Alligator mississippiensis: one gene and its partner. The protein of the gene in region 1 purifies or fractionates together with the protein of each later gene. This does not show direct contact. Links are inferred from orthologs where the notes say so. Each region holds a gene or a part of one and is shown in the gene's direction. Other genes may lie near its edges. The genes, in order: ABCC1 and VDAC3.

Evidence for each region.
Region 2: the proteins of ABCC1 (region 1) and VDAC3 fractionate together in Homo sapiens (co-fractionation; 3 studies listed by BioGRID). This does not show direct contact. The link is inferred for Alligator mississippiensis from reciprocal best matches to the Homo sapiens genes ABCC1 and VDAC3.

Annotation. Positions count from the first base shown.
Region 1 is NC_081836.1:43,011,121-43,020,563, forward strand, and holds the start of ABCC1 (multidrug resistance-associated protein 1), read left to right. Parts: upstream 1-5,819; 5' UTR 5,820-6,064; coding exon 6,065-6,112; intron 6,113-9,443.
Region 2 is NC_081830.1:17,207,836-17,216,195, reverse strand, and holds the start of VDAC3 (voltage-dependent anion-selective channel protein 3), read left to right. Parts: upstream 1-4,300; 5' UTR 4,301-4,395; intron 4,396-6,727; exon of another isoform or gene 6,728-6,752; intron 6,753-7,069; 5' UTR 7,070-7,074; coding exon 7,075-7,141; intron 7,142-8,209; coding exon 8,210-8,259; intron 8,260-8,360. Other genes in the region: DKK4 (dickkopf-related protein 4), read right to left, coding at 1,336-1,482, 2,523-2,673, 3,499-3,609. UniProt on the Homo sapiens protein: Non-selective voltage-gated ion channel that mediates the transport of anions and cations through the mitochondrion outer membrane and plasma membrane.

The DNA of each region.
Region 1 (9,443 bases):
AGAGACTCCTCCCTAGCTCGCTCTGGCAGCCCTACGGCCAAGGGCAAATGAAACAGGGGCATCTAAACCCCAAGTCTCTGGGTTTGGGCCTGCATGTAGGATACCTGCCAAATGCTTTGGAAGCATCTGAAGCCCCAGGTGGGGGTTCGGGGATGTTTGCCGGTAGTAGAGCCACATATGGTTCGTGAATGACTCAGAGATTTGGAATCGATTTAGCTGATTTGACTTGGAACATGAACAATTTTCCGAGAGAGAGAGAGAGAGAGATACTTGGGGTGCCTGATTTATACCTGGGAGAAAACATCCCCCTGTGCTTAAGCTTGCAACAAAAATAAGGGTTGTGGGTTTTACTTGTAATATTAAAAGAATCTGTCAGAACTGATTTGGGTGCTGGTTGTTTTGAGGTACTGTTGAAGAAAGGGGCTGCCAGTGAGTGTGGAGGCCTGATGCAGTTCTCCTTGCATGTCTGGACCCTGGCCTACAAGGTAGGAGGAATGACCTGGTCTAGATTGTCTTGCCAGGCTTTGGTAGTTTGGAATCGTGAGCTATTTACTTATGGTGGCCTCTACGGGCAAGTGCACCATTTCTAAGTGCCTGTTGCCACAACAAAACTTCTGCATGTCATAGCTTTGCGTAAGACATCCTGAATCATTTCTGATAGAGATGTCTCGGCCACACCCTGGAAGGAGAGTTGTGGATTATAGTGGGGGTGAAATCATCTGACCAAAGTCCTTTTAATGTAGTGGGAAATTTTTACTAGCTGGTACCTGGAAGCCACCAAGAGCACTTCCTCTATTACACCGTATAATTCATGCTTAGTGTAAACCAGTGGAATTGCTGTAGTGGGGGCAGTAGCTCTGCTTTTAGGATAGCGTTCTGGCGATTGGCTTTTTCATTTCCATTGTCCATTACCTCACCAAGGGTGTGTTTCACTGACAGAGATCCACAGAGGAGTGAGTACACTATTTCCCTCCTGTCCTTCCTTTTAGTCTCTGTGGGGCAGACCTGTAGCATCCACAGGTGGTGGATAGTGGAATGACCTTCAGGGAAGGTTAGCCATGAAATAAGCAGGGGTAACTGAAGAATAAGCACCAAGCAGCAGCAGCACCACCAGGATGTGATGGGGACAGCAAATGGCAAAGGTTTCCCTCCTGAAAAGCCATGTGTATCCTCTGACCGTGCTGTGACATGATGAGTACAGGTCACCACTATAATAAGCCTGCCTAGCTCCTAGCTATGGGTCTACAGTCCTCAACCGCAAAGCAGGTGGAAGAAAATGTTAGAATCTGAATGGCTGGGGAGGCAGATGAAGGCTGCAACTGAACGAGATCCACAGCTGTCTTGGTCTCCCTGCCATTGGATTAATGTCCCATTCTGTCATGAGCTGTGTGAAAGCTGATATGCAGCAGCTTTTCCAAAATAAAAGAAGTCACGCACAGGCGTCTTCCATGCCTTTTAGTCTTTCTGTTTTTCAGATTGTTTTTCTTTCTCTCTGGCAAACAGTCCAAAGTAGAACTTTTTTTCATATTCTCAAATAAATGTGTATCCCATGAATTTTGTTGTGTCTTTTCTGTGTGCAAAGCAAGATTTCATTTGTTTTGTATTTTTGCACTGCTTGAGCCCATATTTGTTTTCATCTTCCCTGTTCCACTCATTAGATGCTGCATCTGATGGAAAATTCTTGGTGTTCTTTTTGTTGCTGTTTCTGAATTCTTCCACTGCTTTCACCCTCATCCCATTATGGTGGCACGATATAATTTAATTTTATTTAGAATTTCTATAAGAAACATCTGAAAGCTTAGTTAAGGAACTAATTAAGCTTCTTTTGGATTCAATAGGATTTTGAGGCCTCTTAAGGCCGCCGTTCCTGATGAGTATTTATCACTTATGAAATAGTACAGATGAGAATAACCTTTTAAAAAAATAATATTTATTACAGATACTCCATGAATGTTCAATCTTACCAATTTACTCCCCAATAATACAGACTTGTATCTACATACAATGATAGCCTCTTCTCCAAAACCAGCTAATTGCCCAATATAGCAAGATTTCAAGATGTTCTCTAAACAACCAGATTATCTACAATCGGACAAAAAGTATGGACATATTCATTTTCATGTGCAAACCTCAAGGAAAAATATTAATATATTTTGTTTAAGACCCAAACTAGGAATAAATAGAAAAAAATTATAGAATTAAACTAACTTTTCTTCAGATGAAATAATAATTCAGGTGTCTTAGGTTATTTAGAAATACTGTATTACTAGGAAGAGAGAGCTTTTATTTATGTTAGAAAGGTTTGGCAATTTTGAAGTTAAGCTATACAGTAGACTTGTTCTGGTTGGTTGGTTATTAGCCATCTCTGTGTTTTTAATGTCCTGAAAAAAACTTCTTTAGAATAGAAAGAACAGTAAAAGTTGAAATTGTTATCTGTGGCACGACTGCTTGATAATCAAAGGAAAATGATCCTTTTAATATCTTCCATCTTAGTTGAGTCTTGAAAGTGTAACGGAAGAGGTGTTTTTTGCAGACATCCTAGCATATAACTGGACAGAAATGAGGGACAGAAGGCGAGGAAGAGGAAAAATGTGTCCTGTTCACATTCCTGACTTCATACTTTTTTGTTTTTCATACTTGTTTTTTCTCCTAGTAGAGAATAGAACTTCCCGTCTTTATTCAGTGCCACTAATTATGCAGTAACTAACTCCAAAACGTCATGTTAGGCTGAAGAATAACTTATGAATTTGTCATCGGTAGCAGTAGTAGTAGTTGTTCAGTACATACATAGCCATGAGAGAGACCTACTACAGTGTTTGTAGATGTGTCCTGATTCTTTACAAGCGAGATTGGTAACCTACCAGATGTGTATGGTATTGATGTGGGTCATCATGGATGGTAAAGAGATACTTTAACAACCTTGCCAGGTAGTGTTATTGGTATGAGATGATGAAAGAAGGGGATGCAAAAATATATTTAAAAGAGTTTTCCTGACCAAACATTCCCTTGCAGTATTGCAAAGCAACCTTTCTAATGTCATCGTATAAACTGAACAAACAAAAAAAATTACACAAATGTAGTTCCACCTTTGGCTGTTGGGTTTACTTGTCTGATCACGTTTCTTTTTCCTGGATCACCTTCTGCTGCTAGATGGGTGACCAAACACAAGTGCATGGCTAGACAGACAAAAAAATGGCTGTTTGGGTGAAAATCTGACCCCACATTGCATGTATAGTGGTATATATAATGCCATGTATGTATACTGACATGTACATGAACATTGATGTCTACCACCTATTCTTTTTGATGTGAAATTGGGGCATCAAGTCTGATTTTGAAGGTGCACCTAGAATAGATGAACAGTCGATCCATTGCTCAAGGTTATACAATGCAGCTCCTTCTGCCTTCAGAGATGCTCAAGTGTAAATAAGATTGCTGACAAACCCATCTACTTTATTGCTTAATTACATCAGCTTTGCAAGGAAATTGTTACAATGAAGTTTCTTACCAAATGATTATTCCTAAAGGCTGCTAATAATTAATCACAGCTATGTGGTACTGCTCCTATTTTGCCCTGTCTTGACACATACAGGTTTCCCTTGATTTATGCTGTACATACGTTCCCGGAGACCGGCGCATAAACTGAATTTGTATAAAGTGAACCCGCTTTATAATGTAACAAATAGGGATAGGTTTCCATGGCGGTGAGGGAGGGAGCGAGGCTGAGACTAGGGAAGGGGCAGGGAGAGGGGTGCGCAAGGCAGCAAAGCAGAGGAAACAGCGGCACGCACCCCAGCCCTGGCTGCAGCAGCCCTGGGAGCAGCTGGCGTCTGCTGCCTGCAGCTGCTGGGCTGCACTGTGCTCTGCCTGTCCCCACTCACCTCTTCTCCTGGGCTGGGCCGTGTCCTGGTGCTGGCAGCTGGTGTCGGCTGCTCCCGGGGCCGCTGCAGCCGGGGCTGGGGTGAGTGGGGACATGGCCCTTTCTCCTCCCCCCGCCCCAGACTTACCTGCTTGGGCGGGGGACATCTACACTGATCACATAACAGTGAATTTACCTTGCATATAACAAATCATGGGTCTAAATATGCTCGTTGCATAAGAGCAAATTTGTATATAAAGAACCCGCATAAATCGAGGGAAACCTGTATAGTACCATTGCTGCAGACAATGTAGCCCTGAAGGACATAACTTCAGGACTGAAAAAAATGTTGCCCTTATCAGAAGTATGTACTTAATGTAAACACTACTCATTAAGTAGGCAGGGGTTTAGGTTGTAGCCGTGTTGGTCTAAGGATATAGGCAGACAAGGTTCCTTGGGTGAATTTGAAATCTTTTATTAGACCAACCCAAATGGTTGGAGAATAGTTATTAAGCAAGCTTTCGGGTTCAAAAACCCTTCATCAGGCTAAGGAAGCTGCAGCAGTTGGTGTGTGCTCTTCCTGGATTAAGTAGGCAGCACTCCAGTACTGGAAACTAGTCAGTTCCACAACTGCCCCCAGCCTGGTGACCAACCTGCAGCCTGGGTGCCACAAGTGGCCCAGAGGGTTCAGAAAGAAGTGACAATTTTTGCTTCATCTGGCCACAGAAAGTGGTCTATAGCTGTGACCAAACACAAGTGCATGGCTACAAACTGCTTTAAAAAACTGGCTGTTCCTGTAAAAATCTGACCCCTCAGTGCATGAGCGGTCAGATGAAGATGTTTCAAAACAGAGCATCCTCTGTAACTTGTCTGCATTGCCTGCCAGCCTCGAGCTGTTTAAGAATGGGGGTGAGGGGAGGAGGAAGGGAGCAGATGGAGTTTGGTCTGGGGGCTTTTCAGCCCCTGCTGGAGGGTGGGGCGGGGCGGGGAGGGGGGTTCCAGTTCACCAACCCTCCCTCTAGAGCTGGCTGGGGAACCCCTAGACCTCTGCTGCCTTCCCCCTTCCTATTCTGAAAAAGGGACAGGCTGGGAGAGAAGAGGGGCTGTCACTATGGGAAACTGGCTGCAGACTAAAACTAGCAGCTAGATTCCCCAGCCTGGAGCCAACAGTGATCTCGTGTTCATTCCCAGGGCTTGCTGTAACTCCGCAGCCTTCCTGCAAAGCGTTCTCAGTTACAGCGGGGAGTTGCACTTCTGTCCGTGCCCTGATGAATGTCCCCTCCACTACAGGCCTATTTGTCACCCTTTAAAACACTTGGGCTAAGCCCACCCAGTCTCTCACTGGCCTCCCTTAACAGGGAGGCTACAGGAAAAGGGGACAACAAATTACTTGGGACAAACAATGACAAAAACAGGCCCTTAGCAACAGGACTCCCAGCCCCAGCTGGGCATCAATGGCGATGCATAGCATGTACACCCCCTGAGATTGGCGGTGCACCGGCTGGAAGAAGTGTTGCCACCCCACTCCCCCTCACTGCCGACGGCATCCACAGGTGGTCGCCGATGGCTGCGGGCGGTCCCTGCTTGCCACCCCCTGCTGCAGCTCCCCACTTGCTGCCACCACCTGTGGGTGGTCGCCGTGTCCCCCAGCCTCGGGGGCACACATGGTTCACGCGGGGCATGGTGCACCGCTGTGGCTGGGAGCCCATCCACTGCCCAGGCCCTGCCGCAGGGCAGACCCTTGTGCCGCTGCCAGCTGAGGTTGGATCAGAAGCACCCAGCAAGCCAGCAGCTCATTTCTGAGGGGCGAACTTGACATCTGGCGGAAGGTTTTGCCCCGGGGACAGCCCCTCCGCAGGTGCAGCGGCCTCCGGGCGGTTCACCAGCGAGGTGCAAAGGGGCTCGACAAAGAGAGGTTAGCGCTGGAAGGCGCGTCCCGGCGGCCTCCGCCCGTACTGAGAGCAGGCCCGGGAAGGCCGCGGGAGCAGCACGGAGCCGGGCGGGCGGGCGAGCCCCCAGAGGCGCCCCGGGAGCATCAGGTGCCTCCGGCCGGGCGGCGCCTCCCGGCGAGCGCTCCGCATCCCCGTGACCGAGCAGCCAATCGGCAGCGCGCGGCCGCCCCCGCTCTCGCTAGCTCGCTCTCTCTCTCTCTCTCTCCTCCGGCCGCCGCCGCCGGGCTGGGAGCGGGAGCCGCCGCCGCGCTCCATGGGGGGCCCGGACTTCTGCAGCGCCAGCGGCTCCGACCTCTTCTGGGTAAGCGGGGGGCGCTCCTCGGGCCCGGCCCGGCCCGGCGCTGTGTCACGGCCCGGCCGGGCAGGGCGCGGGGCTCTTCCTTCCCTCGGCCCCCCCAGGGCCGCTCCCATCCCTGCCCTCTGCAGCTCTGCTTTCCGCTCCCAGCCACGTGCTCCCCGGCCCTGCTGCTGCTCTGCTCTGCTCCCTTCCCCGAGCGGGCTGCTGCTCCGCTTTCCGCTCCCAGCCCTGCCCTGCCCGTCCCCTCTGGCCCTGCTGTGTCACACGCGGAGACCGCTCGTGACCCCTGTGCCACCCCGGCACGCGTGCTCCTCTGTGTTTGCTGGACTAGTGGGCTTTTTTCGTTGCCCAGTCCAAACTGGGACTGGCTGCAGCAGGTGTGTGGAGCCGGCGGGTAGACGTACACCTCCCTGCCCCTAAGGCGGCTGTCTGGTGCCCTGGGCTGATAAGAAGTGCTGTCCTTTCTTGCCTGACGTCACCTTCAGCGCAAGACAAACAGCAACAGCCTGGGTGTGGAGAAGCATTTGGGAGTGTTTTGCTAAGGGATTGGAGCCCCCCTGCCTTTGGTGGGGATCCGGGGGGGGGGGGGGGAGACGGCAGACACGCAGCTCCTGGATTGGCTCTGAAGTGGAGCTCGATCCCCTACCCCCTGATGCAACACCACGTGTCTGTTGGGTTCAGGAGGGGATCGCTCTTAAGAATTGCTCGCTGGGTTGAGGACCACGTTTCCCTGGGCGTCTGTCTGGTCTAGCGCCCAGCAGATTCAACTGTTCATCCTCAGGGGGCTTTTAGGGGTCTACTGCAGCATAAATGTTGGATCCTCAATTCTGCTGACGTTCTTGCTGGATGACCATTATTATTATAACAAAATTGGATACCATTATCATAAGTACTAGTCGCAACAGGAAAGATGCACATCTGATAGCTGTTTCTAGTTTATGTTCAGGTGAATAACCACAACTGAGCATCTCCGCTCCGCTCCGAAGATGTGCGCTCCCCGTAGTCTGGGCCTGTATAGATGTATATCACTTATTTCAAGCTTCCGAATAGTGAAACGCTTGCAAGATTTGGGACTTGGCGTCCCTTGGGTGTTTACAGGTTGGGAACCTGCTTTCCTAAATGAAAACGAATTGTGCAAGATGGAATAGTTACTAATCCAGCTTGTCTGGACTGCAAGAGTCCTGTGATGATGTAGCTCCCTTGGGGCAGCCATCTGCATTACTTGCTTGCCCTATAATTTTAATTTTAATGTCTGTTAAAGTTTTATCTATGCACACAAAGTGCACCAGGCTGCTGGGCTGCTTGTGGAATTCAGAGCGGCATTTTCTTTAGACAAACTTGTAAATATCGTGAGTTAGTTTTAGTTTTCTTGAAAATTTTCAAATTCAAGGAATAGTAAAAGGGTTTTTTTGTTTTGTTTCTTTTTCTTCTCTGTGTGAAACTTAAGTTCAAACAAAGTTTCCCTTGCTGCAGTCAGCTTTTGCAGAACTCAAGCTTTAATTGAAAAGTCGTTGGCCTTTGTGAAGCTCAATGTCCCAAATACGAATCGAGTGCGTACGACAGAGTGGGGATTTTGCTTAGCCTGCAGACGTACTGAGTCTGTGGCTTTGCTGCAGCTGCTGAAGCTTTATAGGTTTCCTATTGTTGCAGTGGGCTAGTTATGAGCAGGGTAAAATAGCAGAGCAGTTATGAGCAGTAAAATAGCTCACAAATGACCTTGTAGCAAGGAAAGTGTCTTTCATGTTGGTCTGTTGCTGTCTGGTTGGGTGGGTGCCTGTTTACTTTTCAGGCATGTTGCATGAAGTTTGATAAGGGGCTGGAGGCTGAGTATAACTTTAGAGAAGTGAAGTATAATATGGAGGGGGAAATGAAAGGGATGAGGAGGAACGTATGGTGTAAGGAATAGAAAGAGAAAGTGAGAATGTGGGGTGAACGTAAGGTAAGAAAAGAAATATTGTACTAAGGAGGGCATTGACATTATTTTTAGAGATTTAATGCTTAGGGCTGCTGAGCTTTTTTTCTATCTATTTAATAAATTTTACAAGTATTTATCAAATAATGTAACTGTCAAATAGTATTTGAGCACCTAATAAGCCGGCTGAATAATGGGTAAGAATTTGCCAGAAAAATAACTCAAATATCAATGTCATTTAGCAGGCTCAACAGCTGTTCAAATACCATGGGGAATACCATTTGCTGACTAGTATTGGTGATATTAAATGAAGTCATTAGGCTTCAGCTACAAAACTGTTGACATGTTTGCACTTTATCACAATATAGAATAAATAATACAGAATTTTCCACTGGAACTGTTTGTAGTTAGTTGGGCTGCGCTTGGTGACCCTGGCATGTCTTTGGGCAGATAGATCCCATGATTATACAAAAGTCCAAATGGGAAGGACCTCATGGGGTTATCTATTCTCATCTCCTGCTCAAGTCAGGATCATCCCTGACTGAATGAATGATGTTAGAGGAATCTTTGCAGATTTGTAGCCTGATTCGCTTGTAAATTGGCATACATACATACTGTAGGTAGATAGATTGATAGATACTATTGATTTTTAAGGTTCTATATGTAGGCTTTTTCTCCTAATTTAAAAATCCTAAATTCAAAATTTAAAAGTTGGGCATGTAACTTATTTTCACGATTGAATTGTGTGCCTTTGTATAACTTTTTCTAATTAGTTGGGTAACACACAAGCACTTTGAGTAGTTCAGCCTCCTATTGCTCTTGGATGCCTTCCAAAGCTTGAGAATTAGGACAAATTCTTATTCTGCTTGATCCAAGCCATGTTTTGGTGGCCTTAATTAAAAAGTTAAAGGTTATGTATGGTCATGTCCCCTTTCAGAATTAATTTGCAGTCCTTTTAAAATGGGTTAAATTATGAACAGGGATTAAGTGTGTGTGTGTGTGTGTGTGTGTCCTTTAGAGCAGTGTTTCCCAACCTTTTCCAGCCCCAGGCACACTTACGTTAAAGGTGTTTTTTCCGCAGCACACCTGTGAAGGCATTCCCCATCCTCATATCTATTGTAGCTCATTGCCATGGTAAAATTCTGTGGCACACCTGCTCATTTTTGATGGCACGCTTTTGTGCCATGGCACACTGGTTGTCAAACAATGCTTTAGAGAACTGAGTGATGTTTTATTATAATTGCTAAACTCTGGACCTCATATGTACATGTTGTAAGAATTATCTTCTAGTCATGATGTCAAACTTTTGGCTGTTGCACAGATATGAAGATAATAGTGCCAGTAGAATAGCATCTTACACTTGACCATCAAGTAGAAGGTGGCTGGAATAGAATTTGTGGTTCAGAAGCAGGTAGAAGATGC
Region 2 (8,360 bases), on another chromosome or scaffold:
TTCCTGACAGGGTGTGGCTTGACTGCCTGTTCCTCAGGCAAAGAAGCTAAAGGAGACCTTAAACTGAGGTGTGACTTGCTCTAGGCCAGAGTCCTGATCTGTTCAGTTGTAGAACACCCCCACCCCCATCTCCTACACAGCCCTTGCTCTGATCCAGCTGCTTAGAAACCTGGAAGTGGGTTATTGGTTAAACTTCTAAGTACAAGCTGCCTGCTGGACACTTGGAACACAAGTGATATTTTCCTAACACAAAGATCTTTGTGCTGTTTCAACTGCCTGTCCTCTAGCATCACCACCCTGAAAGTCATCTTTATCTTCTCAGCAAGAAATTTAAGAGTCAGTGCCCTGCGTACAAAAGTTTACTGAGCGATAATCACAGCCAGGACTGCTGCTGCTGTTGCATTAATCTACAGGTTGTATACAGCCCTCCTTCCCCCTCTCCCCACTGTGGACATAACCCATCTTCTACCCTGGAAGTTTTTCACTAGTATAAGCTCATTTGTAGCTTACTCTTTAAATGCAAGCTCATTTGGATGGGGCTAGTCTTCCTCTCTCTGTCCTGATCTGAGCAAACATTTAGGCACGCACGTAAACATTTGCAGCTTTAGTCCTTTGTCTGTATGGTGATTAGCACAATGGGCCCCTGTGCTATCTGTGACTTAAGCACTATGCTAGTAAAAATAATGGAGTAGTAATAGTTCCTTCAAGCTTGCTGAATAACTGAGCTTTTGAAGCCTTAAACTCTTGAAACCCCTGCCACTGCTTTTCCTGTATTGCGATGGGTTAATTATATAAATTGCAGTATCCCTTGGTTAGTGTTAAAGGAACATTGCACACTTAGCTTTTTAGTTATGAATAACAAACTTATTTCCTATTACATAAGCATAATCAATCTGCTTGCCATTGTACATGATGCAAAATGTGAGGTCCCATGCTCACGAAGAGAGAAACAAATTGAACGTGTTTTATTTCTGAGCAAGTACATATATCAGTGTTTTTTTCTGGATGTTCTACTAACCAAACCCCAGTTCTTCCCCTCTTTGTAAGATGTTGACTGAATTATCTTAGGTGCTATTTTAATCTCAGTGGAGGAAACTATGTAGCTTTCTCCAGTGCGGCTCTCTCCAATGTATAGTTTTAAGGATTGCTGGAATCTGTCTGTTCACATTTCTTATGCAAACGAAGTAAAGTACAAACACTCTTTCCTAATGGGAGATTCCAGGCATCTCCACAGACTTTTACTTTTCTCTCTTCCCCTCCCCATCCTGCCATTTTGGTATACTTTATTCCTCTGCTGGAATATGATTTCCCCTCTTCTTCTTCAGCCCACATTACCTTTGCTATGTTGAGAGGTGACATTTACTTTCTTGGAAGAGTTTTCTTGGCTCTGATGCTGGGTTGTCCACTCCAGCTCAGAACCATCCTGCTCATCAGTCCTCCTTCCCTCCGTTCGGTTAACTTCTTCAGCCCGGCTGCAAATGTCTAGTGCAAAAAGGAGAAGGCTACAATTATGGATATCTATGGAGAGCGCTGGAATGCTGATACTGCTGTTTGGAGGGACCTTTCATAGCTGCATAGAGCTTTAAGGCTGGAAAACCCCCCAAACTTTCTTAGCAGCCAGTCTCACTTTTTTGCATAAAACACAGGCCACAGACCCTCTCTGTTAATATCGACATTAAGACCACAGATTCTGTTTAAGTTACAGCTTGTCTTTGAAAAGACATCCAGTCTGTACTCAAACACTTCAGGTGATGATGAAGAATCCAGCAGACCCCTGGGTAAGTGAGCCTAACTTGAATTAAAGTTAAAAGGTATCAATCTGATTTCTAGTCTGAATTTCAGCTGCCAACCATTAGAAGCTTTGTGTTAAATTAAAGAAGCTTCCCTTAGAAATAGTGGTAGACTGATCACTGCATCTCTTAACCTTTATCTCTTGGAAACTCTGCACAGATTATAACTGTAAGACTTTTATTCCCCACATCTTAATTCATTCTTGTAGCTTTCTTTTTAGTCAAAGTATTTCCTTATTGCTATACGGTGTAAATATGTTGCATTTCTTTCTAAATACAGAGCGACTTATAAAATGCTTTTTCCTTCGCTGTATCAGTATTTTCACTGTATTCTTAGCTAGCCTCTTGTGCCTCTTGTTAAAATTTAATTTCTTCCTGCTATAAGAAGATAAGTCTTCTGATAAGTCCCCTGAACATGCTGGCTATAGATCTGCCTCAGTTAGCTATGCTTCGTAACAAGGGCTTTGTTCTTATTACTATCAGCTTTGCTGTTCTTAATGCATTCAGCTGTGTATACAACACTGCAGTTTGTTTTGAAAAAGCTCCTAGTCTGCTGCATGACTCAGTTAAGAAAACTGCTTTGTAAAGAAAGGCCATAGGGATTAGATTCAACATTATCAAAAAGTAAATCTCTCAAAACCTCACCATCACTTCTGCAGTGTGCATGGTCCTTCCTGTTCTACTTTCACTATCCCTTTTAAGTACCAGGAATACATGAGTGTGAGAGCTTACCATTTAGACAAATAGACCCTGGGCAGCACATAGCACTGCGCTGGCATCTTCTCCGTAACCCAAGGCAGGTAGAGCAGAAAGGCATGCCATCCTGAGGAGTGAGACAGAATTTGCTTGCATTGCAGTCTTTGTCTGTCATGCATGGTGAGCTCTACAGAGAGAGAGGGAGGGAGGGAGAATGCTTATTTTCTTCAGAGGGAAAAACTCATGTTTATCAGCACCAGTAATAAAATGCTCTGCTGCTTGTACAGAAAGAGACTTGAGCCTCCTGTGCGTGTTAATGCAGAAATAAGACTTGCTAGTGTTCTGGCTCTGGCTCAGCATGTCTGGTGAAAAGGGCTGCAGCTGCATTCTTCATTAGGCCTTGTGCAGTGCTGGCTCTCAGCAAGTAGCAGTTCTTTCATAGTATTAGCATTATTATTTTAAAAGTAGCAGTCCTTCTACATTTCCTACTGCCCACAAGGGGCGGTGTTCATAGCACATGGCAATCTGGTAAGTGCCCTGATGCTACAGAGCAGGTCATTTTCTGAACTGAAAACAGGACTTGAGCCTCCTTTGCTTGCAGTCCTGGGCTCAGACCCTTAATGTAGTGCTCCGGGAAGGAGCTCATCAGCTCAGACAGGCTGCTGCCACCACTTGGCTTGTGTATATATAAGGAGTCTGTTTCCCCATGTCTTTTGAGAAGAGCCATGCACCCCCAGTCTCAGAATTTTCTCCACTTAGAAATCCCCGCGTCCAGCTGGATGTGCTCTAACGACAGCTGAATCTTGTCTGCTTAAGCTAGAGATGCAGCTGCACGTATTGCACAAGTCGGTCCGTTAGTATCGCAAAAGTAAGTCTATCCTCTTGCTTAATGTTTCTCTGCTCTGTGCCTGGCCCTGATCCAAACGGCCCTCCCCTCCTCTGGTTACAGCCTGAGAAACCAGCCAGATTCACGGCCCTCCCCACCAAATTAATTCAGCCCCTGGGCGCTCACCGTCTTGGGGCCGTGCACTTCTGCAGCGCTCTTGATGGTGTTGGAGTCCAGGACCAGGGCTACCAGCGGGGAACAGATGCAGCTGAGTGCCAGCAGCCAGACTGCGTCCATCCTTCAGACAGGCAAACCTGTGCCCAAGGGGTGCTGCAGCTCTGGCTGTTAGTTAAGTGGTGCTGGAGCGTTGAAGCCGAGCGAGGCAGTCTTTGCAAGAGACTGACCGTGAGAGAGAGACTTGCGGAGCCGTGGACAGGACTGCGGGGCTATTTATACCTAAGCTCGCTCTCCTTCCCATCGCCGCCTCCCGCTCTCACCTTGTTTCCTTTCTCTTCAGCCCACACAAGCTTCAGCAAAGCTCTTCAAATCTGTTGGATCAACACTTCAAAACAAGGCTTCAAGAGCTGGAGCAAGCAGGTAGGGCACCGGCTGAGCCCTCCTAATTACGGCCTATCCAGGAGTTCAAAGGGCTGAGAGAGAGGCAGGATGTGGTGCGCTCCCCGGCTAATCGCCTGCACTTCCGCCCTTCCCTTTGCCAAGCGCTTTGCGCTAAGCTCCGCGCGCTCCTTGTTCTCCGCGAGCCTGACTCATGGTGGCCGCGGGGCTGAGGCTGAGGCTGCGGCGGGAAGGGAAGGAAGCGCGTCGCTTTGCTCCGGCTTGCAGCCGCACGTGCTTCTGTCCGCGCGAACCGCCAGGGGGCGCCCGCACGTGCCGCGGGCGGACGGGCTGGAGGCGCCTAGTGCGCAAGCGCGCCCTGCTGGCCCGCGTGGAGCGCTCGCCTTCCCGCCCCCTCCTCCGGCGCGTCATTGCGCGGCGCCTGCGGTTACGTCAGCAGCGCGACGCGGAGGCCGCGGGCGTTTGCGGAGTCCTTCAGTCACACGGACGGACGGGCGCCGCTGCCAGGTACTGCGGGGCGGGACCGGGGCCGGGAACGGGCCGCGGCCTCCGCGCTGGGCTGGCCCGGGGGGCTGGGCGGCTGCGGCCTGTGGCGGGCGCGGCCAACGGCTGGTCCCGGCGCGCGGCGCGGGGCCCCGATGGGCGCGGCTGTTCCGGCCCGGGGCAGAGCAGGCCTTGCTGTGGGCCAGGAGCCGTGCCGCCCCTCCCCCCCCCCCCACACACATCTTCATATAGACGTGTAAAAGAAAGAGCGACGCTTTCACATTCCCGAAGCATGGCTGTGTTCAGAGCAACGCCAGAAATCATGAGTGGTGGCAGCACACCGCGTGGCCGAGGCAGGAAGCGGGGCTGTGCTGGGAACCAGGGCGTGGGAGTGGGGATGCTGCTCCAAGACGGTGGTGGGCCGGCAGGTCTCATCCTGCTGCTGCTTTTGCCTCCGAGGGGCTCTTCTGGGCTTGGCTTTTGCTAGTAAAAGTGCCTGCTGTTTAACAAAAAGGCATAACAAAGGCAAGACCTTCACCCTGGGAAGGTTTAAAAACCAATATGGGGGATACATGATAAGCATCGTTATCACGTATCCACTGTACCGGTTTTTAAACTTTTCCCAGGGTGAAGGTCTTGCCTCGGTTACGCCTTTTTATTAAATATCTAGTCCAGACCAGGTCACGGAGCTGTGTTGTAATAAGCGCAGCGAACAATCCCCCAGCAAGAGACTTGCAGATGAAAGAGCATCGGGCAGTCTTTTAAACCGTGTGATGCCTCTTGTTGCTGGGTGTAGAGCTTGATGAGTATTCAGTTGGAAGATTATTTGGGTGACAGTAGCGTCGATAAAGAAATGCAGCCATCATAACGGTTACCGCAATTCCTGCGGCGCAGTGTCAGTGTCGCTTGTCTTTTATCTTTAACAACGCATGCATCTTTTTTCCGTATTTGACAGGTAGAGAGGCATTTTATAACTTGACAGTTAAGAAGTACAGTAATTTATGACCTAAAGCTTCATATAAGGAGTCTGCAGTCATGTCCAGCTGTTCTAGACCTGCTAGACCCACAGGTATATACAGATAGATATGTGTGTATATATTTATACAGCATGGAAAGCCATCCTTAAGGTATCTGTGAGGGGAGTGGAAGTTATCTGAATGCTGCATCTAGGGAAAGGGGAAGACAAGGAATAGCGGGCACAAGCTGATTAAAGATTGCTTCAGACTGGACATAAGGAAAAACTAGTCGAGTGCTGAAGGTGTGGAACAGGCTCCCCCCAGAGGTGGTACAGTCACCCACCCTGGAGATCTTCAGAAAATGGCTTGGTGCCCACTTTGCTGGGCTTTCCTGCCCAAGTGCAGGGTGGCTGCTCCCAATGATCTTGTAAGGTCCCTTCCAGCCCCTAACATCTGTGAAAGGCCTACATTGTCCAGTTGCAAGGATGAGTTAATACAGAAACCTTGACACAAGAGAGCAAAAGCAGTTCTGCATTTGATTAGTCCTGTCTTTTCGAGGGCAGTGTTAGAAGCTGCTTGGTGCAAGAATTGATTTCTCATCCTACAAAGGTCAGAATAAAAATGGTCAGGTTTCTAGAAAGAACATGAGGAAGAAAAGTCCACCAGAAATCAGAAAGAGGCTTCTAAACAGTAGCATTGCTGTGTAGATCCAAGGAAAGGTAAATGGTTTGAAGGGAACTGGTGACTTTAGGAGGTAAAATCCTTGCATTGTTGTCTTGGATAAGAAAGAATTTCTGTCTGACATAATTTATCAACAAGAGCTGTTTCTAGTGGAGCTGTTGAGTAGAGGAATCTTAACAAATGAGCCTCTTTTAGGAAGGATTAAGAGACAGAGAGCTGCCATTAACAAAGTTCACCTGTGGGCTAGTCTGTTCTTCCTGAAACCACCCATCACAGTGGCATGATGGGTATCAGACCTTAAGGTCTAAATCTGCATTTCTGGGGTCTGTAGCTTCTATTCCAGAGCCATCTTTAATGTCAAAAAAGCATTTAGCTGCTGGGGAAAAGGGTATTACATACTTTTGAAAGAAATGATACATTTTGACAAGTCAAAAAGGCCAAGTAATTCAGTGTTAAAATTAACGCTTCTCTCTTTAGATTTGTGCCTCATGTGTTTGTGGATCTTGTTCTCTTAATTTTAATTTTGTTCAGACAGTTACGTATCTAGACCTTACTGCTGCCATCTTTTCTTTTCTGTATATTTTTGTAGAAACATCAGCAGGGTCGCCTCCCTGTTTTATAAACGGAAGTCCTTTTTATGTTTTCCCAAAGCTGTGGTGACTGCTTGAGGGGAGGAGCTGAGAACACCGGTGGGAGAAAAGAAAGTTTATTTTGAAGTGGCATGGAACAGCCATTGTAGCATATGTATGTTGGAGCGTGTGTATGTTATTTATCCAATATGGTATTAACTGAGGCACAAGGATCCTGTTGGAGTTAAATTTCACTCCTAGGATATGGTGTTTTGGGTGTAGATTGTTTTTTTTTAAATGTTCTGTGCAGATAAACCCCACTACCTTTCTGACAAAACCAGTGTTGGACTAAGGGAGGTCACTGAACACAGTAGAAGACTGCTGCCTTGCACCATGGTTTCTTTTCTGCTGGGTACCTTAAGTGCTTAGTGAGCTATGTTTTTTGTTTCTGTGTCATGAAATATGGGTTCTTCCCATTTCTTATCTCTTCAGACCCAATGGCTGTCCCACCATCGTACTGTGACCTGGGGAAATCTGCCAGAGATGTATTCAACAAGGGTTATGGTAAGTAGCATTATCATGTGTTGATTCTAATACAGTAGTGTAAGTGTGATGCTGTAGCCTTGGTAGTCCAGAAATTAGGCAAGAGGCAAGGATATCTTAGCATGGTATCTTTTTTTTTTTTAATCTCTTTTGGTAGTATTAACAAAGGCCAAGCTAAAATGTGGCAAAGTTCAGCTAAAAGGTTTCTCTTTTTAGAATAGAAATCTAGGAGCATTCAAGATGAAAGATAACTAAAATTATCCTTGGATACATAAATGGTGGACTGTCAAGTAGGAATAGGGAAGAAGTGGTATTGTCAGTGTGAGATCATGTCAAAACAGAGAAGAAGGACAAGGTCTTGAGAGAGCCTGCCTTGCTGTGAGATTTAAATGCCTCAATTTATTTAGCTTTTGAAAAGAAGAGACTAAAAGGTGAGTTTGATCCCAGTCTGTAATGGGGCGAATCTCTGATTGAGGGCTCTGGAAGAAAGGCAAAATAGAATGCAGAGGGAGTGCGAGTTTGGATACATTTGAGAGTGGGAAGAAGGAACAAATATTTAACATGTGGTTGATTAACCATTGGAATGGCATATTAAGGGGTGTGTTAAATCCTCTGTCTCTTGAGGACTTGTAAGATTAGATATCTTTCTAAAAATATGTCCTGGCTCAAACAAGTTATGAATGTGATGCAGGAATTACTAGATTAAATTCTCTGGCCAGTGCTGTGCAGGAATTCAGGCTGGATAATCGCAAAGGTGGTACCATCTGGCCACAGCAGATGGTACCTTCTGAATTCAGAAGTGGTACCTTCTGAATTAAAATGTGTTAATTTAACTCAGGACTGCTCAGCCTATAACTACTTGCACACTTTTGAACACTCACTATTCCCTTGTGCTCCGATAAGCAGATGGTTTATTAACTTCCATGGATCATCAGAACCTAGTTAATTCTTTCCCAGTAAGATTAAGTCCTACTTACAAGGTGGGCTGTTTCATGTAAGTGCTCCCAGACTATTACATGTAGGAGTAAAAGCCTCTCATTTTCTTGTATGCTGTAATGAAATAGGTGTCTTTCTGCTTTTGTGTTTTAGGATTTGGACTGGTTAAGTTAGAGCTGAAGACCAAGTCCTCCAGTGGAGTGGTGAGTACTGAGCACATTCATTGGCACTGGAAAGGGGAGGAGAACTTCCTGTAATAAGAGTTGCTCATTAGTGCAGGTTTCATTTCTCAGAAAAGGGAATG